6 linked regions of the Sus scrofa genome follow. The protein of the gene in region 4 interacts with the protein of the main gene of each other region in a pairwise test. Links are inferred from orthologs where the notes say so. Each region holds a gene or a part of one and is shown on either strand. Other genes may lie near its edges.

Region 1 (3,937 bases), on a different chromosome or scaffold from region 4:
CTCTTCAGCATTCTTATGGGGATTAATAATACACATGTGGTACCTAGCATAAGAATTTGACACAGTGCCCACAATCAGCTGAAAAATTATTAGGCTGTGTTTTCCAAAGTGTAGCACCTACAAATGAAAAAAAAATTTTTTTTTTGTTTTTGCTTTTTAGGGCCACACCTGAAGGCATATGGAAGTCCCCAGACCAGGGGTTGAATCAGAGCTACAGGTGTCAGCCTACACCACAGCCACAGCAACGCTAGATCCGATCCACATCTTCAATCTACAGCACAGCTCACGGCAATGTCAGATCCTAAACCCAGTGAACAAGGCCAGGGATCCAAGCCACATCCTCATGGATACTAATGGGTCACAACGGGAACTCCCTAAAAACTGTCTTTAAGTGGTACACAGAGCATTACAGCTATCATTTTTGCAATATTCTTTTAATTCTTCAGATGAAAACAAGGGTATCTTCTCACACTCATAGTCCTCCTGTTTTAGAGAAAGGTCATTTAGGTTCAAAGACGCACACCCTAGTTAACAGGTGAATTAAACACGTTTGTAAGGGCCATTCTGAAGCCAGACCACCTGGGTTTATCCTACCTCCCTTACTCTGGCTTTGGGCTGGTTCCGGAACCTGCCTTTACCTCAGTTTACTCAACTGCAACAAGGGGATAATGACCACTCCCTAGGATTATTGTGAATGTAAAACGAACTACTATGTGTAAAGTGATGCAGAACATAGAAAGCCCACCAGCCACGTTAGAAACACGTGAAGGAAACGGTCCGGACCGGATGGCTGGTGCGGCAAGTGTTTCAAAGGTCTCACCAGGGTGACCGGGTCGGCGCGGCAGGACAAGGTCCGTGAGGCGGGATGCGCTCAGATGGCGCGCGGCCCGAGGAGCCCAGCCAAAGCCCTCAGGGAAGGCCGACAGCAGCCGGGACTCGGGCTTCCTTCGACTGCGGCCTTTTGGGGTCTCCCTCCTGGCGTCACAACGATCTCACGCCTGCTTAGGTGTCTGTGCCTTTACCCTAAGCTGCTTCTCGAAGCGAGCGCTCGCTGAGGCGAAGCGCGAAAAGCGCGGGCAGCTTTGGAACGCGAGAAACGGGGGCGGAGCCAAGGGGCGGGAGAACGCGGGCTACGTAATACGACGCCGATACGCACGCAGCCTGGCGCATGCGCGGCGAGCCAAGGGGCGGAGCGCGGCGCCGGACGGGACTCAGAATGGCGGCCGAGCGCAAGACTAAGTTGTCCAAGAACCTGCTGCGCATGAAGGTACGAGGACGCGAGAGAAGCGGGCCTGGCGGCAGGGATACCTGGCCTTCCAGACTTGGCTGGGGCGCAGGCAGCGGGCGTACGGCGAGCGCAGGGGACTTCCTGCTCTCGCGTTCATTCATTCACTTAACGCCTGCTCTAGGTTAGCCACTGGGAACAGGATAATGAATCCAGCGGAATCTCTCACAAAGTTCTTGGTCCCACAGGAGAGACAGACACGTAAGCAGGCAGTTAGGATACAGCGTACTAAGTGCAGTGATGCTAGAAGCGCCGGAAGCTCCGGCAAAGTACTTGAGCTTCTGCAAGTGGTGGAGTAGAGTTAAGACTGAAGGGTGGGGGTTGGGGGGCAAGGGGGCTATAGAGACATAGACGAATGGGAAAGCGAATTCAGAAGTCTGAGGGGCAAACTCCCCCCAAATCCGTTTTTTTTTCCGGAAACTAAAAGTCATTCGGTATGTGTGAAAGGCAAGCAGCAGGAAATGGGCCTGGAAAATGAACCAGTAGTTGCAGCATGTAAGGAATTTTAGGCTAGGTTAAGATTTGTTTTGTTTTTTAATCTTGTGTCATTGCGAAGCTATTGAACACGGAGCAAAGTAGCATTAGCTGTGCTTCTTTCTTGTCACCATAACTTTTACTGTCCTGTGGAGAAAATACATTGGTGAAAGAAAGACCCAACAGGGGTCCAAATTACAGTCTTAACGACCAGCTAGATCTGATCTGGGTGAAAGGTTTGAGTGGTGATGGGAATGGAGAGAATTTTAATACTTTAGGTGAAAGTGAATTATGTCACCCAGAACTTTAAACAAAATTGATTTCCAGATTTGAAGTTGGATTAATTTAAACATACTAATTTCAGATTGGGGAGGGGAGGCAAAAATAGATAAAATAAATATAGGAATTAAAACAGGAGGAATAGACAGGCCTTAAAACTTAAATAATAGAAGTAGCAAACATCTATAGTCCTTGCTTTGTGCTGGACACTGTTGTAATTGCTTTGCATGAAATCCACTTAATAACCCATGAAATCCCCATAACAACCTTTTTAAATGGGTACAGTTATTATCCCTCTCTTACATCTGAGGCACCTGAAACAAAAAGCAAGTAATTTGTTCAAAGTTACACTACTGGAGTTCTTGTTGTGGCTCAGGATAACGAACCCAACTAGTATCCATGAGAATACAGGTTCAATCCCTGGCCTCGGTCAGTGGGTTAAGGATCTGGCATTGCCATGAGCTGTGGTGTAGGTCGCAGACATGGCTCAGATCTCACCTTGCTGTAGCTGTGGTGGAGACCAGCAGCTGCATCTGATTTGATTCCTAGCCTAGGAACTTCCATATGCCGTTGGTGCAGCCCTAAAAAGACCAAAAAAAAAAAGTTACACTTCTAATAAAGAGTGTAGACAGAACTTAAACTCAAGCAGTCTGGCTCCAAAGCCCTAGCCCTTAATTACTACTCTGTACTGCTTGTTGCTAAACACCCCCTCATAGATGCAAACTGTTAGATACCATGTTTAGAGAATAATGGAGTTTCCAATAAAAGAAAGCAAGAAATGTATAATCTCTTGAAAGATTAGAGAGTAAATGTTGCATGTGCAAGACATGAATGGTGTTGAGCTAGAGTGTAACTAGGGATGAATAAGATGAGGGTGGAGGATAAATCATAGTGTAATTTAGTTTCTAAAGTACTACTTACAGGCATATTAACAAAATTTGAATCATTACTGAACAGAGTCATTTGCTTATGGTTTGTAATCATGTAGATTTCAAAGAAGTGGATTGGCAGTGCAGGCATTGAAATGATTTTAGCAGCAGTTGTTTTAGCTCTTGGAATAAGTCAAATGGAGGAGTTCCTGTCGTGGCTCAACAGAAACAAATCTGACTAGCATCCGTGGGACGCAGGTTCAATCCCTGGCCTCTCAGTGGGTTAAGGATCCAGTGTTGCTGTGAGCTGTGGTGTAGGTCGCAAGTGCGGCTTGGATCTGACATTGCTGTGGCTGTGCAGCTACAGCTCCAATTCGACCCCTAGCCTGGGAACCTCCATATGCCACAGGTGCTGCCCTAAAAAGACCAAAAAAAAAAGTCAAATGGAGATGTGCTGAGTGATTATGGCTCAAACCAACAATCTAATTTGGGGGGTAGGAAGGAAGAAGTTAAAAGAAAAAAAAAATTTCACCTGCATTGAGGAAGATTCAGGTGGACATTGGAGGCAAAGGAGAGAGGGAAAAAAACTTACCCAGGTTCTCTAGTTGGATTAGCAATTTTGACCATTGACAAGAAAGAATTTAATAGCAGGATTGCAGGAGACACAGTACAGATGGAGGAGGGTAAGCCTATGAGAAGGAATGGAACTGCTATATTAGGTTGCCTTATCCTTGTCTGGCAGAGCTGTTCAGCCAGAGCTAAGAACAGAGCAAGAATGAGAAGGTTGAGGATTTAATACTGACTCATTTGTTTCCTAGTGTGCTTGAAGTCCTCTGTCCTGGTCAGCTATTGGAGGCTGGAGGGTACTCCTGACAGGAAGTAGAAAGTTAAAGGATGTATGTGGAAGGTCTGTCGGTATGATGGAATGTTTATAGAAAGTCACTCGTCAGTGACTTGTGCTCTTTTGGACTCTTAAGACAAAAATTAGTGAACTTTTTCTGGGAAAAGTCTTTAGTTTTGTGGGCCAAAC
Region 2 (4,099 bases), on a different chromosome or scaffold from region 4:
GCCATTCAGTGGATATTTATGGGATACCGGGACTGTGTGCCAGTCACGGTACTGAGAATTGAAGATACAGAGAAAAACAAAGCGAAACAACTAGATGAGAGTCGGTGTTTCAAAATACAGCAAGTCTAGTAGGGAGACCTTTCTGTTATATTGGCAGTAATGTCGTCATTATTTGGGGTTTATTATTGTTACTGGACTTATCAGTATTATCTTGCAAAGTAGAAAAGTCACTTCGAATCTATTTGCTTTTTGCCCCCCCCCCCCCCGCAGAGAACTGTTCTAAACAGTTAAAAAAAAAAAACAACCTTCCAAATGTAGGGAAGACATATATAAACGAGTTGTAAAATTCTGTGGTGAAAACAGCATGCACTGAGGTTCTGTGGAGTAAGAATTCTCCTTTTATAGGAAAAAAGTGACTTAAGTTTGACTCTCCCAGTTAATCTGGTTACTAAAGTTATATGCGACTTATTTTTAATAAGTAGAAAGCCAGCGCATCTGTTCCTTGACGGGCGTTTGTCGCCGTGGCTCCCTTCGGCCGGTACCTTCAGGTGCGAGCACCCAGGAGTCCTTCTCTGGCCAGAGCGCGCCGTCCCCTCCTGTGCTCGTGTCTTAGAAGATAATCTGCGTGTCACTCAGCAGGTGCAGAACACATGCTGTTCCAGGCGTGATAGATGTGTCTCGGGAAGTTAGGACAGGGTGATCCCAGGACCAGTGAACACGTGTTTTTTTTTTTTGTTTTTTTTTTTTTTTTTTTTTTTTTTTTTTTTTTTTTTGCTGACAGCTCTTAAAAATTCTAGCATGACAGGCGGTAGAGACACTAGTCAAGAGCAAAGATTCTGGAGCCACAGTAACTGAGTTTTAATCTAGCCATGCTCCGCGTTAGCTGAGTGGCAGTGGGCGCAGTATTTAATATTTCAGCACCTCAGTTTCCTCATGTGTAAAATTGGGGTGATGATACTGTCTGCCTCATAGATTGTTAGGAGAATTAAGCGAGTAAATATTTGTAGGACAGAATAAACTGCTTGGTGCAGAGCGTTATATGTATGGGTGCGAGTAGATGCTTTGTTACCTGTGGATGTTTTTGGTACTAATCACAGAATAATAAGGTACTGTGTATAGTTCTAGGGCCTGGTCAGTTGATGCTGAGTAAGTTGAATGGTGACGTAGCTTTTTCTAGCTTTTCTTAGTTTCTCCTGCCCACCAACCCCAAGACGTCTTAAAAATTGGAAGTCTCTTTATTGGCATATTGTGCAATAATCCTGGGAATTCAACCTGACCCCTGAGATCTAAATCAGAGGTCACGCTTTGCTAAAGCCAGGCCTTCTGTACAGATCCCGGGGGCAGGGGTCGGAGGCGTCTTAGCGTCTCGGGGGCCCCCTGTGCTCCGTGGAGCCCGAGGGGATCTGTGATCATCCACTCCCACCGCCCAACCACAGTCCTCAGAGACCAGCACTGCCCTGCGTTGGTTCACATGCTGGTTTCGGAGAAGGAACGTCCATGCAAAACGTTAGGAAGCCGGTTCTGGCATGGCTTTGACGTCCCTCGGACGCAGGCTACCTTGCCTTGCAGGGTGGAGTCTTCTCCCTGCCTCCCACAAAGGGCACCCCACAGCCTTCACCTCCCTCTTTCAGGCAGCTGGTCTTTGCACACCTAAGAGCTCCAGGCTTAGAATTGCGTCTCCGACAGGACACTGTGGTTTGATGTGGCTGATGGTAGGCTCTTTATTTTTTTTTTAATTCCAACCCCATGGTACTATGATTACGTGCCATGGGAAGGGTTATGGATAAAATGCCAGTCTTCCTACGCCCCGTTGTGCAGGGCAGCGTCATTGTGTATCAGGCTCTTAATGGTGCTCCAGAGCTGCTGGTTGGAAACAGCACCAACCTCCCAGGCCTCAGCTCCTCCCTGGCAGAGTGGCTTGTGCCAGCAGGGTGGGTGGCGCGGGCTGTGACTGGTGGAGAGGGAGAACCTGGAAGGCAGGGGCAGCAGTGAGGCGCCGCCACGGTGCGGGCGATGGGGTGAGCAGAAGGGGCAGGATTCGGGAGCCAGTTCCGGCGTAGAATCTACAGGACTCCCGGACGGATTGGCTGGAGTAGATCAGTGGGAGCGGCGGTCAGCTGTGGGGTCTCTGCTCGAGAGGACAGTGACGTTCTCATGATCCCATGACTGGCTCACGGCACACAGTGGCCAACGTGGGACCTGCGGCCACCGTCCTGAGGTGGGGTTATCAGGACTCAGGAGGCCTCGCAGTGCTGGGAGGCTGTGTTGTTTTGCTGCCCAGGCCTTTCCTGTCCCCTTAACTCGCCACTGGGGTTGCTGTTTAAGGAATCCAAGTTCATCTCGTCCAGTGGTGGGGTTGGACCATCCCTGACTTTCGTTTTCTTCGTCTTAAAATTGAAGATCTCATATTACTTCCTTTAACTTTCCTTTGGGGAATGCAAAGGATAAATGGAAAAAAAAGAGGAATCTTGTTTTTGAACGTATATATGACAGGAGTTCCCACTGTGGCTCAGCAGGTTATGAACCCAGCTAGTATCCATGAGGATGTAGGTTTGATCCCTGGCCTTGCTCAGTGGGTTAAGGATCCGGCGTTGCCGTAAACTGTGGTATAGGTCGCAGATGTGGCTCGGGTCCTACATTGCTGTGGCTCTGATTCGATCCCTAGCCTGGGAACCTCCGTATGCCACAAGCACGGCCCAAAAGAACCAAAAAAGAAAGAGAAGGATCTCTAACAAAGAGATCCTGATGGAGGTACACTGAGTGATGCATCGCAGTCCAGCTCGAGGATAAGGAAGTCACACGGCCTGGGGAACTAGGACGTCCTCATTTGCCGGCTGTTTCCGAGGTGAACGGCTTTTAGAGCCCACAAGTCGTGGGGGGCGGGGAGGGGCAGCCAAGGCGGTCTGTCCTTTCGGTCGAACTCTCCTGTCTGTTTTAACTTGTTGCATCTCCTTATACTCAATACTGTGAGAGCCTTCTTTTAAAAAGTGGCTTACTTGTTGCAGGTAATTCAACAGATTCTTTTACCCGAAAGTGAATGTTATTGTGTATTTTTTTTTCTTGTTTAAAAATTCAGGCCTGGGGTTGGGGGAGCCAGACCTGGACCTGGTCGTGATGGCATAAGGCTGCCATTTCTTAACCAGGCAACTCTAACATGAAAGCAGGCAAGCGAGCTCTTGTCCTCTGCCAGCGCTGTCAGTGAGAGGACACTTACCGCTGCGGCTACAGAAATCCCTTACGGGGCATTCAGGGCCTTCCAGCCTTTGCATAGTACTTGTCATATGCTGGGCACCCTTCTGAACAGAAACTAACCTGTACCCCTCCGGGAGGTATGTACTATTATTTTTCCCTTTTTACCAAAGAAGATAGTGAGGCAAAGCCGGGTTAAGTAGCCTGGGACCAGCCACAGGGCTAGGACTGTGTGGGTCCAGGCAGAGTCCAGAGTCCGCTCTCCTGTGCTCCCCTCCATGATTCTCGGCCCTGCTGGTCCGTTAGACTCATCTGGAGAGCTTGCAAGAGGGCCGGGGGCCTAGCCCTACCTGGGACCAGTCCGAGCTTCACTCTTCGCCCTTCCCGGGGTCTCTCTCCCAGTCTTTCTGGCTGACCATGCCCCGTCCTTCCCTGATTTCATGGCACATGTAGGGGTTTAATGGCCTTTTACAGTTCAGGATACACAGCTTTCTGGTTTGGCTCTGTTAGGCAGGGCCCTGGAGCTAGGGACGTCCTGCCCACTATGTGTGTCCTGGCCAGGGCCCCACACAGCATTGTGCCCAAACCCAGCCCGTGATTGTGTGTGGTTGTCACTTTGCCTCAGGGGGGATCTCATAAGGTACACGGAGAGCACAGATGGTGACTTGGGCAGATCTAATCTGAGTGGCCCTGGCGTGTCCGAGCTGCAGTTTGCTTACCGTGGACTTGGAGAGGTGGTCAAGTTAGAGGCTGATTGTGCAGATTAAATGAGATGCATGAAAGTACAGAACAGGCTCCTGCCGGCAGGAGGCAATCAGAAATAAATGCCGAGTTCCTTCTGTGTAAACTAAGCATGGTTTTGACTGTGAAGAAGCACTTGAAAATACCCTCTTCGGCTTTCAGTCAGAAG
Region 3 (4,179 bases), on a different chromosome or scaffold from region 4:
TTCCTAGTCAGATTCGTTTCCGCTGGTCCACAAAAGGAACTCCAATAACGGATTCATCCTTAACCCACTGGGACACAAAAGAACTCCTAGCATTTAAAAAAAAAAAAAAATTTTTTTTTTTAAGTGATGCCACTCAAGGCATACCGAACTTCCTGCACCAGGGATTTGAATTGCGCTGCAGTTGCAACCTAAGCTACAGGGGGTAATGCAGCATCTTTTAACCCACTGCAGCCAGGGGATGGGGATGGATTCCTCACCTCCATAGCCACCTGCAACTCTGCATGGGATTCGTAACCCATTGCGCCAGAGCGGGAACTCCTTAAATGGAATTTTTGATTAAAATCCAATATGGTTGACTAAGTTATCTCCCATTCTTTGGGAGATTAGTTAAAATTATTGATTTGTAAAAACTTTTCTGCATTCCTACCATGTGTTAGGCTATGTAGTGGGCTCAGGGATAGAAGTGATTAAGACAACTTTCCTGGAGTTCCCGCCGTGGCGCAGTGGTTAACGAATCCGACTAGGAACCATGAGGTTGCGGGTTCGGTCCCTGCCCTTGCTCAGTGGGTTAAGGATCCGGCGTTGCTGTGAGCTGTTGTGTAGGTCGCAGACGCGGCTCGGATCCCGCGTTGCTGTGGCTCTGGCGTAGGCCGGTGGCCACAGCTCCGATTCGACCCCTAGCCTGGGAACCTCCATATGCCGCGGGAGCGGCCCAAAGAAATAGCAAAAAAAGACAAAAAAAAAAAAAAAAATGTATGCAAAAGAAGAATGAAAAGTATAATGAGTTCCCCATGTACCCATCACCTGGCTTCAAAATTGTGCTATAACGGGTCACCTTGCTCTACATCGGAAAATTGACAGAACAATGTAAACCAGCTATAATGGAAAAAAAAAAAAAAAAAAGACAACTTTCCTGCTCTTAATGAAAAGGGAGCGTTAGATACACAAACAAATGCAATTCAGGGGTAAAAGGGTTTAGCAGTTAGACGAACAAAGTGCCATGGGGAACAGGGGGAGCTGAAAAGTCACTAGTCATCCCACCATTATTTTTAAAAGATGATGCTGGAACAGACATAACCATAGCACTTGTCTTTTTTCTTTTTTGCCACGCCGGCTGCATGTGGATTTCCAGGGCCAGGGATGTAACCAGCGCCACAGCAGCCACCCAAGCCGCTGCAGTGACGAGGAAGAATCCTTAACCCCTTCAGCCACAAGGAAACTGCAATCCCTTTTATTTTGGCGGCGCCTACAATTCCCAGAACGCATCGCGGAGGATGGAGGCGGAACCAGTTGGTCGATCAGAGACCTATGATTGGTGATGAACGCTGGGCCAATTGGAGGAGTTGTTGTTAGGTGGTCCAGGAGAACCGGTCGGGGAGGGAGAAAGCTGGCAAGATGGTGTTAGAAAGCACTATGGTTTGGTGAGGAACTACTTCGGGCCCCTGTGGGGCAGCGGGACTGGGTCGGGGGCGCGTGTAGCTCGGAGGCCGGGCAGGCCTGGGGTGGGGACGGGGCCTTATGGGCGAGTTGAGGCCCCGGGCCGGGAAGGAAGGCGGTGCATCGACTCCCTGAGTCATCCCCGGGCCCCGGAGTTAGTTCCCGGAGAACAGGCCCCGGGTGTCCCCCTTTAATCCTCAGCCCGCGTACAGCCATTGACCGGCCGATTCTTGCTGCCTTTCTCTATTCCAGCGTCTTTAGCTAGAGTTCGACTCTCAGACTCATCCTGATGGTCTTCTGCCCTCCTCTTCTAAATGATGGATGTTAGGAAGAGATGATAAATCCCTTCCCCGTCCCCATTTACTCGTGTCTAACTCTATTGCCTTTCTCTGTATCATCTTCAAAGGTACAGCTTACAGGTTGCTTTCTAAATGTCAGGCGTTTAACTTACTTTATTTCACTTAAACCTCACTATACTTAAAGTCCCTCCCTTTTACAGATGAGGATACGGAGTCTCGTCAATTTTAAAATGACTTACACAAAGTCACACAGCTAATTAAGTAGTGGAGCTAAAATTTAAACCCAGAATTATCTGACACAAGGGCTCTTATCCAGTGAGCTAGCTCTCTTCATCAGTCTCATACTTGGCTGAGTAGCTATTAGGAGTCGGATTAGAAGCTGAGAACACAAACTTTTGCAGGGTTTCAGGAGTTTCTTCTAAGTGTGAGCATAGAATAAACACAGACTAGTACGCAAACACAAACAAATAGCCAGTTGGATGGACAGACACCCAAGAGTATCTCTGCCAGGAGGTTAGCATTGCTAGATTGCATATAAGCTGCCCATTTAAATTTGAATTTCAAATAAGCAATATGTTTTGATGTTAAAAATGGATATAAGTATATCTCAAATATTATGTGGAACATACTTATACTAAAAAGTTATTGTTTATCTGAAATTCAAATTTATTTTTATTTTTTTATTTTATTGTCTTTTGTCTTCTTAGGGCCTCCCCTCGGCATATGGAGGTTCCCAGGCTAGGGGTCCAGTAGGAGCTGTAACCCTGGCCTCTGCCAGAGCTGCAGCACTGCAGTATCCAAGCTGCGTCTTCGACCTACGCCACAGCTCATGGCAGTGACAGATCCTTAACCCACTGTGGGTGGCCAGGATGCTACCCAAGTCCTCATGGATGCTAGTCGGGTTCATTAACTGCTGAGCCACAGAGGAAACTCCTGAAATTCAAATTTAACTGGGACTCTGCTGTCGATCATGGCTCAGTGGAAACAAATCTGACTAGCATCCATGAGGATGCAGATTTGATCCCTCTCCTTGCTCAGTGGGTTAAGGATCTAGTGTTGCTGTGGCTGTGGTGTAGACCGGCAGCTCCAGCTCCAGTTCAGCCCCTAGTCTGGGAACCTCCATATGCCATGGGGGCAGCCCTAAAAAAAAAAAAAAAAAAAAAAAAGGACAAAAAAAAACGTAGAAAGAGGACAGGATTTGGAATCAAAAACCTCTGTTTTAGGTCATGACTAGCTACATGTTCTTGAGAATGTATTAAATCTCTCACTTTTTTAAAAAAATGAGAATAATAACATCTATTTTTCTTATGGCTTAGGTAGGTAAAATGTATAATATGGAGCTCTGTAAATTGTATAGCACTGTACGTATATTGGTTTCCATTGCACTTGAGGAATCCTTGAGAAAGAATTTAAGAAAGGTCTTAGATGTTGAGGAAGGGAAGCTATTACACGTGGAGAGAAGAGCATAAAGCTGCTGCAGTGTAAATTCTCAAGGTATGTTTAGGGAGTAGGAAATAGATTGGTGTGACGTTGTTTTAATTGTTGGTTTAAGATGGTTCTTTTTTTTTTTTTGGAGAATGTATATGGAAGTCCACAATTGTCGGGCTAAGGACACTGAGTTCTGTCTTGTACCTTCAATAGAGGACTGCTGAAAAAGTTCTGAGTCTGGTGGAGGTGGAACTGTGTACAAAATGGCATTTAAGAATATTGATCCAGGGAGTTCCCGTTGCGGCGCAGTGGTTAACAAATCCGACTAGGAACCATGAGGTTGCGGGTTCGGTCCCTGCCCTTGCTCAGTGGGTTAAGGATCTGGCGTTGCCGTGAGCTGTGGTGTAGGTTGCAGACGAGGCTCGGATCCCATGTTGCTGTGGCTCTGGCGTAGGCTTGCGGCTACAGCTCCGATTCGACCCCTAGCCTGGGAACGTCCATATGCCGCGGGAGCGGCCCAAGAAATAGCAAAAAAAGACAAAAAAAAAAAAAAAAGAGAATATTGATCCAGGAGTTCGAGTTGTGGCTCAGCGGCTTACGAACCTGAGTAGCATTCATGAGGATGCAAATTTGATCCCTGGCTTTGCTCAGTGGATTAAGGATCTGGTGTTGCCGAGAGCTGTGGTGTAGGTCACAGACGCAGCTTGGATCTGGTGTTTCTGTGGCTGTGGCGTAGGTTGGCAGCTGCAGCTCCAGTTCAGCCCTTAACCCCGGGAGCTTCCATATGCCGAAGGTGCCCCCTTTAAAAGGAGGGGGGAAGTATTAATTTGATTTGGTGTAAAGGAGGAAAGATTAGGCCTAGAGAGACACATTGGTGGCTTATTGTAAGAGCCCAGCCTTGGGTGGAATAACCATGAGAGCCACTCCTTTTTATCTGCAGGGGTTCATGCCTTGCTCTGCATCAGAATTTTCTGAAAGAGCTTTTTAAAAATTGTGTATAGGAGTTCCGTCGTGG
Region 4 (3,286 bases):
TGGTTCAATCCCTGGCCTTGCTCAGTGGGTTAAACATCTGGCATTGCCATGAGCTGTGGTGTAGGTCGCAGACACGGCTGGCATCCCGTGTTGCTGTGGCTGTGATGTAGGCAGGCAGCTGCAGCTCTGATTAGACCCCTAGCCTGGGAACCTCCGTATGCCACGGGTGCAGCCCTCAAAAAAAAAAAAAAAAAAAAAAAAAAAGCAAAAACAGAGAGGAGCTGGGGAGAGGGCTTATTTCACAGGCAGCATTACAAAGAACAGAGGAAATTCCCTCACACTGCATAAGAAACCACAGAAACACATGCACCCAAACATGCAGACAAAAAAAGAAAAGAAAAAAAAAAGCTCACCTTAAATTAGAAACAGCCCTTCCCAGACGCATAACCAAATACAAACACTAACCAAAATTGCTCTCTCTGGTTCATGCAAATGCAGATACACATGTACCCAAAAAAAACCCCACGAAAATAAAGAGGACAAAACACACACACACAGGCTGCAGCTGCTGTACTTTGTTTATTGTCACTGTCACCCTTGGGAAGCTCCAGCCTCTTTAGCATCTTTCTTTTTTTTTTGTTTGGGGTGACCCTGCTTTTCTCTACCCCCTGCCTCTTGCTCCCCAACCTGCCCTTTTTCTCAGGCTGGGGCGGCTTCCCTGGCAGCCCCTCGAGCCTCAGTCACGTGGGGTAAGTCCTGGGGGTGGAGGGGCAGGGCGGCCAGCAGGCCTGGATCCCGCCCCCAGGCACTGATTCCTCCGCAGTCCTGTCTCCATTGCTGTGGGGTGTCTGTGCTCTGGCCTCACCTGGCAGAAGGAAAGCAGATGGTGAAAGCACAAAGGCCCGGGTTCTAATTCTGGCTCTCCTGCTCACTCACCCGTGACTCCAGAGAAAGATCTTACACTCTCTGGGCCTCGGTTTCCCTCTCTCTAAACCAAATTTTGCTCCAGTTGGAAAGGATCTGTTTCCCTCTTTGCTCTGGCCACTAGGGAACTCAGAGTCCAACATATGTCTCATTTTATTCTATGTTGGGACAGCAATTGTTTGATCCCTCCTCCCTGCCCACCCACGCACGTTCAGGCCTGTCCTTTCCTAGCAGAGGGACCTCTACTGGTACTCAGGGAGCCCCTGATTCCTTACCTCGAGTTCTGTTTCAGGTCCGTGCTGCTCGCTTTTTCCGCTCCGTGTTCTGGATCTTGGTCACCAGCTTCCTCTCGTGGCCACCAGGGCTGGGGCGGTTGGTGTTGGCAGCAGCCTCTCTCTTGGTGCGACCTTTCCGGGCTCTCCCTCCTGGGAATCAAGACAGGGGTCCGCGGTGAGGTGGGCAGAGGCGTGATGCCTCAAGGGACGGGCTGGGGGTCCAGCGGGCGGGGGTGGAAGAGCTCGGGTTAAAGTCAGGAGGCTGGGGGGTCATGACCACGTAGCTTTAGGGATGTCCTTGTCCCTGTTTCCCCATCTGTGGAAATAGGGTACCGCCCCCCAATCTGTCATTGCTCCAAACACTCTAGCAGAGTATGAGGTCCCAGGGCCAAGTAGGACGGGGATGCTCAGTGGATGCGGGGTTAGAAGGGGGCAACTTGAAAGATCAAGGGAACAGGCCGGAGAAGGGTGATGGGTGGGCAGGAGCCCAAGGAAGGATTCTAGTGTGGGGAGATGGGGTGTCGGACTGTGTTGGAAATAGAAGGACTGGGAAGGTGGCAGGGCCGGGACTTACCCAGGTAAGAATGAGCCAGGCTATAGAGGTCGTACTCATCCAGGTTGGGGTCTTCATCTTCTGGGCATAGGAGCTGCCTGGGGGGGCTGGCTGCTCGCGGGAAGGTGGTCATAATGTCTCTGTCTCTGTCTCTCTCTTCCTCGCCCATCTTCTAAGGCTGTGTTTGCATCTGCTTTCCTGACACCTCCTAGTTCACGGCCCCGATTTATAAGGCCACGTCTCCTCCTCAGCCCCTAGTCTGGCTCCAGCCCCTCAGGCTCTGTCTGATGCAATCTGGCCTTTTCCCAGAACCCAGCCAAGTAAACACCAGTCACGAGAGGGGAAAGGAGTCATCCCCTCCCCCGTGAGCCCCAGCCCCCCTGCCTCCTCCCTCTCACCGGGGCTCGCCCAGCTGGGTATTTTTCCACAGAGAAGAGCCTCAGGGCTGGGGGCTGGGGAGGAGGGAGGAGGCGGAGTCTGGCATAAACAGCCCTTGGGATCTAAACCAGCAGGGAACTCAGCGCCTCACCTGGTTGACTCCTCCCTGGCCATCGCCTGCCCTCTGCCACATGCCCTTCCTGGGCTGGGGGGTCACGGCCACACAGCTGACCTCCACCCCCATCCGCTTCTGGCTCAGATTCAGGACTGGCGGCAGAACATGGAGTGAAGAATGACCTGGGAGAGGACACAACACACGCTGTGCTCTGTCATGCGTTCTGACCCTGATCTCAACCAACGCCCACTTTTTCTTGTATTTATGTAGTTTCTTTTATAATTTTTTTTTTAGGGCTGCACCCGTGGCATATGGAAGTTCCCAGACTAGAGGTCGAATCAGAGCTGCAGCTGGCAGCCTATGCCTCTGCCACAGCAACACCAGATCTGAGCCGCCTCTGTGACCTACACCACAGCTTACGGCAACGCCAGATCCTTAACCCACTGAGCGAGGCCAGGGATCGAACCCAGGTCCTCATGGATACTAGTTGGGCTTGTTACCACTGAACCACAATGGGAACTCCCCTTTTACTTTTAAATAAGAAACACCTTGGAAAGCCCCCTTAACATCCTGAACTGGGGGTCAGTAGATGATCTCCCCCTCCTGAGATGGGGGCTAGCAGAGTGGTTAAGAATGCAGATTCTGGAGCCAAATGACCTGGATTCAAATCCTTGATCCACTACTTCCTGTGCGACCCTGGACAAGTCACTTTACGTCTCTGGGCCTCAGTTTCCTCCTCTGTAAAAGGAGGATGATAGTTGTATCCAGGTTATAGAGTTGGGGTGACGTTCAAGATAATCCACAGCAAGGCACTTGGAACACTGCCTGCTACAGGGTTAGCTGCGTGGCATCTGTTGATCACACAGTTTCCAAACAGCTCAATATAATGCTCTCCTGGAGTTCCCGTTGTGGCTCATGGGTTATCGAACCCGACTAGCATCTGTGAGGATGTGGGTTCCATCCCTGGCCTCGCTCAGTGGGTTGAGGATCTGGCATTGCTGTGAGCTGTGGTGTAGGTCGCAGACATGGCTCGGATCCCGCATGGCTGTGGCTGTGGGGTAGGCTGGCAGATGTAGCTCCTATTGGACCCCCAACCTGGGA
Region 5 (4,100 bases), about 1.1 Mb from region 4:
AAGGAGTGAACAAGCTTCAGAACACTTCAAAATGTCTGTATAACTAACAAAAGGAGTATTTTGCAGCCACACAGACCTGGATTCGAATTAGACCCCTTACATTTGGCTGTTCCATAATCATAGATTGCATTTGGCCTGAGTCTCATTTTTTTGGTGTATAAAAGATAGCCTTGCTATCTTTCTTCGTAAGATTGTGATGGAAAAGCAATTAATTGGGCTTTTTTTTTTTTGGCCGCGCCCACTGCATGCAGAAGTTCTGGGGCCAGGGAGTGAACCCTTGCCACAGCAGCCACCTGAGCCACAGTAGTGACAACGCCAGATCTTTAACCCACTGTGCCCTGAGAGAACTCTCTAATTGTGCATTCTGAAGCCACTTCAGCCCTATACAAATATCAATTATTGTTGGATCTGCACATTGATTCCTCCGTAGGGTTTCAGGAAAATACTCCCAGCCCTTTATCAGCAAAAGGCTGGGAGAACCCTGATATAATCTCAATCTCCGGATTGTTTGGGCTTTTCTGTCCAACAGCGAGTCAGAAGCCAAGCTTTGAGGTTGTAGGTGGGCCATAAATGCTTAATCAAAACAGGACCCAGGGGTCCGAGCTAAACTCCATGCTTGCTTTCACGTCAAACGTCACAATCCACAAGCCCTGGTAAGGACAACCCTGAAAGACGATGAGTGAAAACCAAGACGAAGAAAGGTAGTGTGTGTGGTCGGGGGAGGGACGTTAGAACCAAGAGAGGGAGGCTGGCGCGGGAGGGAGGATGCATCTGATGCAGTGGAAGGGCAGTGGAGCGGAGAAGCTCGCTATCCGGAGTGAAAGTGAGGCCCAGCGAAAGGGGCCAGCCTGAGGAATTTCGGTTCCCGCCCCACGACTCCCGGCTTTGACTACAGTTCCGCCCGCAGACGCCCTAGGCCCCTCGCCCCGCCCCCAGAGGGTAATCGGACTGTACCATTATGATCTTATAGGGGTGGAAGTGAATCTTTGGCTCGTCCTTCAGAGAAAATATAAATTATTTCTCAGAAAAAATAAGGCTATATATATTATTTGCATGGTTCTTAGTGAATAACAATTATGTTCTGCCGGCTAGGACCCTATATATTCCCTGAAGGGCGGCAGGAGTCCGGCCATGCTTCCCCTTTTCCTTTCCGCATTTGGTGCATTCCCCCAGGATACGTAGGCGGGGGAGGCGTACATAAACCTCGACGCAGGAGGCGGGGCTGCTCAGTCCTCGAGGCGTCGGTGCTCAGCGGTGTTGGAATTCTGTTGCTTGCCGGCCTGTGCGCGCGTGCGCGGACATGGCCTCAAACGGTATGTAAGTGCGCGAGGCGGCGGTGGCGCGCCAGCCCTGGAGCTCGTAAGCTCCCAGTTGGGCTTTTGTTTCTCGGTGGGGCCCGGGCAGCGATCGCATGTAGGATCTTCTCCGCACCACTGGCGGGAAGCAGCGGAGAGGGGTGGAAGGGGGAGGCCGATGTCGCCATTTTGTTTCGCTCCGCTGGCGCCTCGCGCAGGGCGGGAGGTCTTCCCTTTGCAGCCCCTTTCCTTTAGGTGAGGGTTGGGAGGAACTCTTCTTGGTGACTGGGGACGTGAGACGCGGATGGAAATGCTTGGTCCCCGTAGCCTTCTCTCCTCCGCGTCTCCAGCCCCGCGCTCGGGCCCGCTTTGTCGCAGTGCTGCATCCGGGCACTCGGTGCGCGCACGCGCTCTACTGGCCCCTCCCCCCTTTTCTGGCGGCGCGAACCCCCCTCCCGCCTCGTGTCGGCCCTGCTTTTTGTCGCGAGACCCTCCACCGGCAGCTCCGCGGCGCTCGTCCGGTGTGGGCCTCGCTCCCGGGGTCCCTCGGGAAGGGGCGGGACCTCCTCGTTCCCGCCTCGCGTGCCACGCGGCTGGGGGCGGAGGCTTTGGATCGGGACCGCGCGCCCGTTTAACGGCTAGGGGTGGGGGGCTAGGGGGTGGTCCAACGGACTTGGGGACCGGGTGAGGCTTTTCCCGCCTAAATTTTCCTCCTTGGGAGGTAGGAACTGAAAGGAACGGCCGCCTTAGGCCACACCCTCTCCCGATCCTTTTGCCGTTTCCTGCGGGGAAAGCTGTTTCCTGTATCGAGATGAGTTGATCAGGCTTGTGCTGTCTTCCTTGTGGCGTTTTCGTTACCTTGGATTCGCCAAGTCTCCCCGCAGCCCCGAGGCAGGCAGGGGAGATAGGAACTCGTTGGGAGCCGTAGGGCTGAGGACCTGAGTACCAGTCGGCTTGCCTCTCGAGGCGACCGCTCTTTGATGGCGATCTCTGTCGTTTGGGGTCAAAGAATTCTCCCTTCTTGGTGAGCTGGCTCTGCACTAAAAGCCCCCTGTTCCTGTCTCCAAGATTGGATGGAGGGTGGCCTCTCTCCAGATCTTGAGACTTTCTTTGGGTTGAGAAAGTGCAGGCTACAATCGGAACGTTTTTGCTTCTGGCTTGCAATAAAGCCTGTTCTGCTCAAGCAGCTGTGTGGCTTCAGTTGGACTCTTGGGGATACCTTCCTCATAGAGTGGGTGTGAAAACATGTGAGTCAGTTTGTGCAGTTCCGGATATCAGTTGAAGTTGCAGAAAAATGGTAGTTGTCCACCAGGACTCTTGCTTTTTCCAGTACTTAAGGCCTCTTGGTCTCGGTAGAAATTCGCTTTTTTGGTGTGTCTTTATTGTGAGAAAACTTGACTTTGGTCTGCCGTCTTGCCCCTCTCAACTAGGGTTTCAGGAGGGGATTTCTGCCTTGTCAATTTTCACATCTAGGGGCTCTGGGGCTTGAGTTGAGGCCTTTACCTCTAGTTTGTTCTCTTAGGGGTGGCTGAAGGTAATGTTAATATGATTGTATTTTTCTGTTTTGCAGACTATACCCAACAAGCAACCCAAAGGTGAGTGTCATTTCTGGGTTTCCAGAGTTTGTAGGGGGCAAGGGTGGCTAAGGTGTCTTTTCCTGAGAGCACCGTTGTTGCCTTTTCTTCTCCAGCTACGGGGCCTACCCCACCCAGCCTGGGCAGGGCTATTCCCAGCAGAGCAACCAGCCCTACGGACAGCAGAGTTACAGCGGTTACGGCCAGTCAGCGGACACTTCAGGCTATGGCCAGAGCAGCTATGGCAGTTCTTATGGACAGACCCAGAACAGTGAGTCTTTTTAAGTGGGTCACCCTTCCTCTTCCTGCTTTTTCTGAATGTTGCTTTTCTTAAACCTAAGCAGTGCTGAACTGTTGAAACTGTCCCCCAGTTTCTTTGCCCTTAACCAGTCTGTGATCCTTCAAGCTACTTAGAGTTTGAGTTCTTTCCAAGTACTTAATTCTGTTTCCTTTTATTTTCTTTGACTTTGCATTTTTTGATTTATGCTGCACTTCTCCCTGTTTCCCCTAAGAATGAAAGTGAAATTGGGGAAGAATATTCCCTAAAGGGAAAAGAGTTTTAAGTTTTTGATATTTAAAAGGAGAAAATGGGGAGTTCTCATCATGGTGCAGCGGAAACAAGTCGACTAGGAGCCATGAGGTTTCCGGTTTGATCCCTGGCCTTGCTCAGTGGGTTAAGGATCTGGCGTTGCTGTGAGCTGTTGTGTCGGTCACAGACGCAACTTGGGTGTGATCCTGTTGTGGCTTTGGTGTAGGCCAGCTGCTGCAGCTCCAATTCGACCCTTAGCCTGGGACTCTCCCTATGCTGTGGGTGTGACCCTAAAAAGCATAAAAAAAAATAAAAGGAGAAAATGATTTGCTTGAAGACGTTGGAAATCAGCATACTGTATATCACATTGATACACAAAGAGGTGGAATTTGCCCTTAGGTGCTGAAGGGTAAATAATCTGAGATGTACATCACAGGCTGGTTAAATGCTGTTAAAGGAGAGGGATCTCTTGGGCTGTGATTGGCGGTGGTTCAAGAGGCTGGCTTCAGGTGTAGGTAGCATTAGGGATGTATACAGTGTTTCATCAACCTATTCTCATTCCTCAATTCATGACTTTTTTTCTTTTTCTCGTAGCAGGCTATGGCGCACAGTCAGCTCCCCAGGGATATGGCTCAACTGGTGGCTATGGTAGTGGCCAGGGTTCTCAATCGTCTTACGGGCAGCAGTCTTCATACCCTGGCT
Region 6 (4,267 bases), on a different chromosome or scaffold from region 4:
GGGCATATGTGTGAGTTGAACTCTAGGGCATCTCCCTAGAAATGGAAATAGATGGTCATGAGCTATGGACATTAATGTGTGTTTTATTCCATTCTACTCTCCCAAGAGGCCAAACCAATTTACACTCTCACCAGGGGCATCAGCTCTACTTGATGTTTTCGTGGGGGGTGTCTAGGGAGTCCTCAGACTTGACTTTGCAGCAGGCATGTGCTCAGATGTGCTGTGTCCAATATATCACGAGTTCCCAGTAGACTAGCCTGCAAGTATGCTCAGGACTATGTGGCTAACTCCTTGGTCATTTGGGTTCTCTTTGCTCTGAGAAGAGTCCCCAAGGTGGAATCTTTTGAGGAACTTGGCTATCCTGATATGCTTGCTTGGGGAGAGGGGATCAACATATCAGTTTGAGGAGTTCCTTGTCGTGGCTCAGTGGTTAACGAATCAGACTAGGAACCATGAGGATGTGGCTTCAATCCCTGGACTTGCTCAGTGGGTTAAGGATCCGGTGTTGCCGTTAGCTGTGGTGCAGGTTGCAGAGGTGGCTCGGATCCTGCTTTGCTGGGGCTGTGGCGGAGGCGGGCATCTACAGCTGCGATTAGACCCCTGGCCTGGTAGACCCCTGGCCTGGGAATCTCCATAAGCGTTGGGAGCGGCCCTGAAAAAGGCAAAAAGACAAACAAAACCATATCAGTTTGAGAATCTGTGGCTGTTCAGACAAATGCCAAAACCTGGCCTTTAGATTTACGATGTGAGGTGGGAGGGCTCCGTTTGGCCAACGGCTTTGCTCAAAGCAAGTGAATGGGAATAACCAACACTTGTTGAGTTTGAGGTGTACCTCATTTTCTCTCTTGGACAATGGCCACAGGTGGATATGCCCTGGAGAATTAAGTTCTATGAGTGCACAGTTCTTGTCTGGACCCTTGACAGCCTTACCCTCACAAGAGTCTGGAACCTAAATACTCAATGACTGGAACCTAAATACTCAATGACTGCATGCCTGTTTGTCTCAGAAGAGCTGCCAAGGTGGAAACACTACATTGCATCATCCTGTTTGCAGAATAGGGCCACAAAGGCTGCTGACCACTTAGATGCTCAGAGAAAAAAGTGACTGGCATTTCAGGATGGGAAAGACATTGGTCTTTGCTTCTTTTACTCTCCAGAAGGTCCTTACTGAGATGGGGGTGAGGGTCAAGGGCAGGGGCCAGAATACCGGTGGGTGGGGGTGGGGCAGCACGCACCCCAACATGGCGCCCGCTCGGGGCCTGCGGTGCCGCGTTCGTACAGCTGCGAGGGGGGGGGGGGTCAAAGGCTTTGTGTGGGCCACCCCGCGAGTTTCCCGCCCAAGGGGGCCTCGGCCCTCTCCTCCCAGCTCTGTTCCCGCGGCGGCAACAGGGCGCGCCGCGTCGCTGTCAGCGCATGCGCGCGCGGGAACCCGCCCTCTAGGCTGGCGCACGTGGCCCGGCAGCCCGACGTGCGTGCGCGCGACCGCCGGGCCTCCCGCGTCCGGGGCTCCGGGAGCCTCTCCCTCCTGGACGACGGGTGCGGCCGCCAAAGCTGTGCTGTGTGCGTGTGCGCGCGCGCGCGCGCGCCGGGCCACGTGGGAGCGGCGCGGCGCCGTTGCCCCGCCCTCCCCCGGCGCGCGCCGGCGTCGTCTGCGTCTCCGGGCATTTGAATTGCGCTTCCGCCATCTTTCTAGCCCTCAGTCAGACGGGCGCGGAGACGCTTCTGGAAGGTAGCGGGGCAAGGGTGGAGGCCGAGGAGCCAAGGCGGGGATGGGGGGGTCGGGGCGTCCCGGTGGCTGTGGCTAGCGGCAGCCATGAGGAGGTGGTTTCGCGGGGCCTAGGTGTCAGGTGGAAAGCTCTCTTTCCTGGCCGCGGAGGCCCCGGGCCGGCGCCGGAACCCGGGCCGCAGTGGGCCGGGCGGGCGGAGAGGGTCCCCGGGGCGGCCAGGCGGAGGGGAGATCGGGCTGGAGGGTCCTGGCGGGGGCCAGGGGCGGCTGGGCCTGGTTGTGCTACCGTGACCAGGCGCTTTCCGCGCCCCGGTCTCCGCGCCGAGCGAGCCTCCCTTTCGCCCGGCCTCCGCGCCGACTGGGCGCGCGCCGGGCCCCGGCGGCCGGAGGAGCCCGGCTGAGGAGCAGCGCCGCCGTCGCCATTGGCGCGCCCTCGGCCGCCCGCGTGCGGTGTCGGGGGAGGGGGAGTGGGCGGCGGGGCTCCGGGTTGGAGGCCTTTGTGGGCCCGGGCACGTGGGGCGGGTCGGGCCATGCGGCCCGCGCCGCTGTGCAGCGGGCCTCACTTCTTTCTCCTTCTCTCGCAGTAACATCACGATGGCTGCCCAAGGAGAGCCCCAAGTTCAGTTCAAAGTAGGTAATCCTCGTGAGTTGGGGATCTGCTGCTGTGGACCTGAGGAGGGGATCTGCGGGGGGGGGGGGCTCTTGTCCAAACGGGTTTCACAGGGTCTCCTTTATGACCGCAAACCTGTGTCGAAGGCCCACTTCGTCTGCCAACATGTTCGTGCCGCGGCAGGGCCTTCAGCCCCCCGATAACGGGGTGGGGGTGCTGGCCCCACCCTACGGATAGGGAAGCTGGGCAAGGGAAGTTTCATTGGCTCCAGTCATTCATTAATATGGGACAGGGCAGCTTCATTAAGATTCTTTGTTTTAAATATACTTAAGGGATATTTAAAGTTCTGTTATGTAAGTGCAATGGGTGTCCATAAAATCTTAACTACATAATTCTGAGATCCTGAAATGTTGCGTGTCTTGGTGTTTATTTCAAAAATGTCTTTCGACAGCTTGTATTGGTTGGTGATGGTGGTACTGGGAAAACTACATTCGTGAAACGTCATCTGACTGGTGAATTTGAGAAGAAGTATGTAGGTACGTAGGGGAAAACCATTGATGAAGATGTGTGCGAAATGGATGAGTTCAGCGACTAACTGGAAGTGCTTGTGTTTCAGCTACCTTGGGTGTTGAGGTCCATCCCCTTGTGTTCCATACCAACAGAGGACCTATTAAGTTCAATGTATGGGATACGGCTGGTCAGGAGAAATTTGGTGGACTGAGAGATGGCTATTATATCCAAGGTAGGTGCTTGATTTGTAACCAACAGTTTTCGAGAGGATCTGTGAGTTGGTCTCCAAGGTTGCTTATAAATAATCCGATCTAGTCCAGTAGACTCATGCATAGTACTGACTGAACTGGGAATCGGGTAGTTGGATCCAAAGGATGTGCTGGCTTCAGGGACTTGACCATCATTTGAGGGGCAGAGAATTTTGTGAAGTTTGTTATGTGCCATTTGATTGTGTCATGATAGGCACGGTTTTGGAAGAAACTATGGTTTGTGTTCAGGCTCATAACTTAAAACGCCACAGACAAGCTGTTACTGGAGCTCCTGTATTTGAAAACTTGGGAGTGTTTGAATATATATTTTGGTGATTTCAACGATTATTTCTTGTGCACTCCATTGAAAAGGTAGTAAACATTTGAGCAGATGCTGGACCAGAGGAGCTAGGTCTTCTGTCTTATAAAATGTTGTATAGGACCAGCTGATTTCTTTTTAAATGTACTAGGTCTTGTGGAATATTTATTTCAAAGTGCTTGGTTTAAAAAATGGAAGGAAATAAGTGCTTATACCAAGAAAAAAAGATGAATAAAGAATGCTTATTTCCTAGAATCTTTCTCTTTTGATGAAAATTGTTGAGAATCTTTCCATGTCTTTTGCTTTCCTTGGGTACATACAAATGCAAGGATTCCCGCCAGCCAAATCTTTTAGCTACAAATCTGTGTGATACACTGTGCCTACTTAGTGGCTTAGCAGCCTTATTATGGCTGTTCTATAAGACAATAAATACGGGCTTCACTGAACTTTTGAAAACAGGCACACTATATATTCTCATGTATTTATCTATTTAAGAACCTTTTAAAGAATAGATTCTTACATCCTATATGTGGAAGGTGAGTTCTCTGGAATGCTAATTTATTGTTAATCTACATTGGGTATTTTTTTTTTGAATGAGGCAGAGTTTATGATGAATTACTACAGGTGGAGAGATTTCATATGGTAGGCTGGTCTTTCATGCTTTCACATACAATAAAAGAGAATTTAAAATAATGTATATTTAAATGGTCTAAGATTTTTAGAATTGGTATAGACCTTGCAATTGAATAGAGAAATTAGAGTTAGGCCTGAGATTATGAATCTGAGTCCATAGTTTTCAACATTTTTTTCATTTGGGTAGTAAATTCCTTGGTATGTACTAATTGCTGTACATT

Evidence for each region.
Region 1: the proteins of NUPR1 (region 4) and MPHOSPH6 interact in a two-hybrid assay, tested with the Homo sapiens proteins (2 studies listed by BioGRID and IntAct). The link is inferred for Sus scrofa from reciprocal best matches to the Homo sapiens genes NUPR1 and MPHOSPH6.
Region 2: the proteins of NUPR1 (region 4) and STX18 interact in a two-hybrid assay, tested with the Homo sapiens proteins (2 studies listed by BioGRID and IntAct). The link is inferred for Sus scrofa from reciprocal best matches to the Homo sapiens genes NUPR1 and STX18.
Region 3: the proteins of NUPR1 (region 4) and PSMD4 interact in a two-hybrid assay, tested with the Homo sapiens proteins (2 studies listed by BioGRID and IntAct). The link is inferred for Sus scrofa from reciprocal best matches to the Homo sapiens genes NUPR1 and PSMD4.
Region 5: the proteins of NUPR1 (region 4) and FUS interact in a two-hybrid assay, tested with the Homo sapiens proteins (2 studies listed by BioGRID and IntAct). The link is inferred for Sus scrofa from reciprocal best matches to the Homo sapiens genes NUPR1 and FUS.
Region 6: the proteins of NUPR1 (region 4) and RAN interact in a two-hybrid assay, tested with the Homo sapiens proteins (2 studies listed by BioGRID and IntAct). The link is inferred for Sus scrofa from reciprocal best matches to the Homo sapiens genes NUPR1 and RAN.

What each region holds. Positions count from the first base shown.
Region 1 is NC_010448.4:6,253,385-6,257,321, forward strand, and holds the start of MPHOSPH6 (M-phase phosphoprotein 6), read left to right. Parts: upstream 1-1,137; 5' UTR 1,138-1,168; coding exon 1,169-1,267; intron 1,268-3,937. UniProt on the Homo sapiens protein: RNA-binding protein that associates with the RNA exosome complex. Involved in the 3'-processing of the 7S pre-RNA to the mature 5.8S rRNA and play a role in recruiting the RNA exosome complex to pre-rRNA; this function may include C1D.
Region 2 is NC_010450.4:5,932,007-5,936,105, forward strand, and holds the start of STX18 (syntaxin-18), read left to right. Parts: upstream 1-1,299; 5' UTR 1,300-1,526; coding exon 1,527-1,712; intron 1,713-1,988; exon of another isoform or gene 1,989-2,218; intron 2,219-2,539; exon of another isoform or gene 2,540-4,099. UniProt on the Homo sapiens protein: Syntaxin that may be involved in targeting and fusion of Golgi-derived retrograde transport vesicles with the ER.
Region 3 is NC_010446.5:98,001,845-98,006,023, reverse strand, and holds the start of PSMD4 (26S proteasome non-ATPase regulatory subunit 4), read left to right. Parts: upstream 1-1,379; 5' UTR 1,380-1,395; coding exon 1,396-1,421; intron 1,422-4,179. UniProt on the Homo sapiens protein: Component of the 26S proteasome, a multiprotein complex involved in the ATP-dependent degradation of ubiquitinated proteins.
Region 4 is NC_010445.4:18,401,626-18,404,911, reverse strand, and holds NUPR1 (nuclear protein 1), read right to left. Parts: upstream 2,132-3,286; 5' UTR 1,862-2,131; coding exon 1,714-1,861; intron 1,290-1,713; coding exon 1,153-1,289; 3' UTR 1,140-1,152; intron 806-1,139; 3' UTR 501-805; downstream 1-500. UniProt on the Homo sapiens protein: Transcription regulator that converts stress signals into a program of gene expression that empowers cells with resistance to the stress induced by a change in their microenvironment.
Region 5 is NC_010445.4:17,323,766-17,327,865, reverse strand, and holds the start of FUS (RNA-binding protein FUS), read left to right. Parts: upstream 1-1,300; coding exon 1,301-1,313; intron 1,314-2,865; coding exon 2,866-2,890; intron 2,891-2,985; coding exon 2,986-3,140; intron 3,141-3,992; coding exon 3,993-4,100. UniProt on the Homo sapiens protein: DNA/RNA-binding protein that plays a role in various cellular processes such as transcription regulation, RNA splicing, RNA transport, DNA repair and damage response. Binds to ssRNA containing the consensus sequence 5'-AGGUAA-3'.
Region 6 is NC_010456.5:24,315,225-24,319,491, reverse strand, and holds the start of RAN (GTP-binding nuclear protein Ran), read left to right. Parts: upstream 1-1,467; 5' UTR 1,468-1,729; intron 1,730-2,310; 5' UTR 2,311-2,320; coding exon 2,321-2,356; intron 2,357-2,787; coding exon 2,788-2,872; intron 2,873-2,952; coding exon 2,953-3,078; intron 3,079-4,267. UniProt on the Homo sapiens protein: GTPase involved in nucleocytoplasmic transport, participating both to the import and the export from the nucleus of proteins and RNAs. Switches between a cytoplasmic GDP- and a nuclear GTP-bound state by nucleotide exchange and GTP hydrolysis.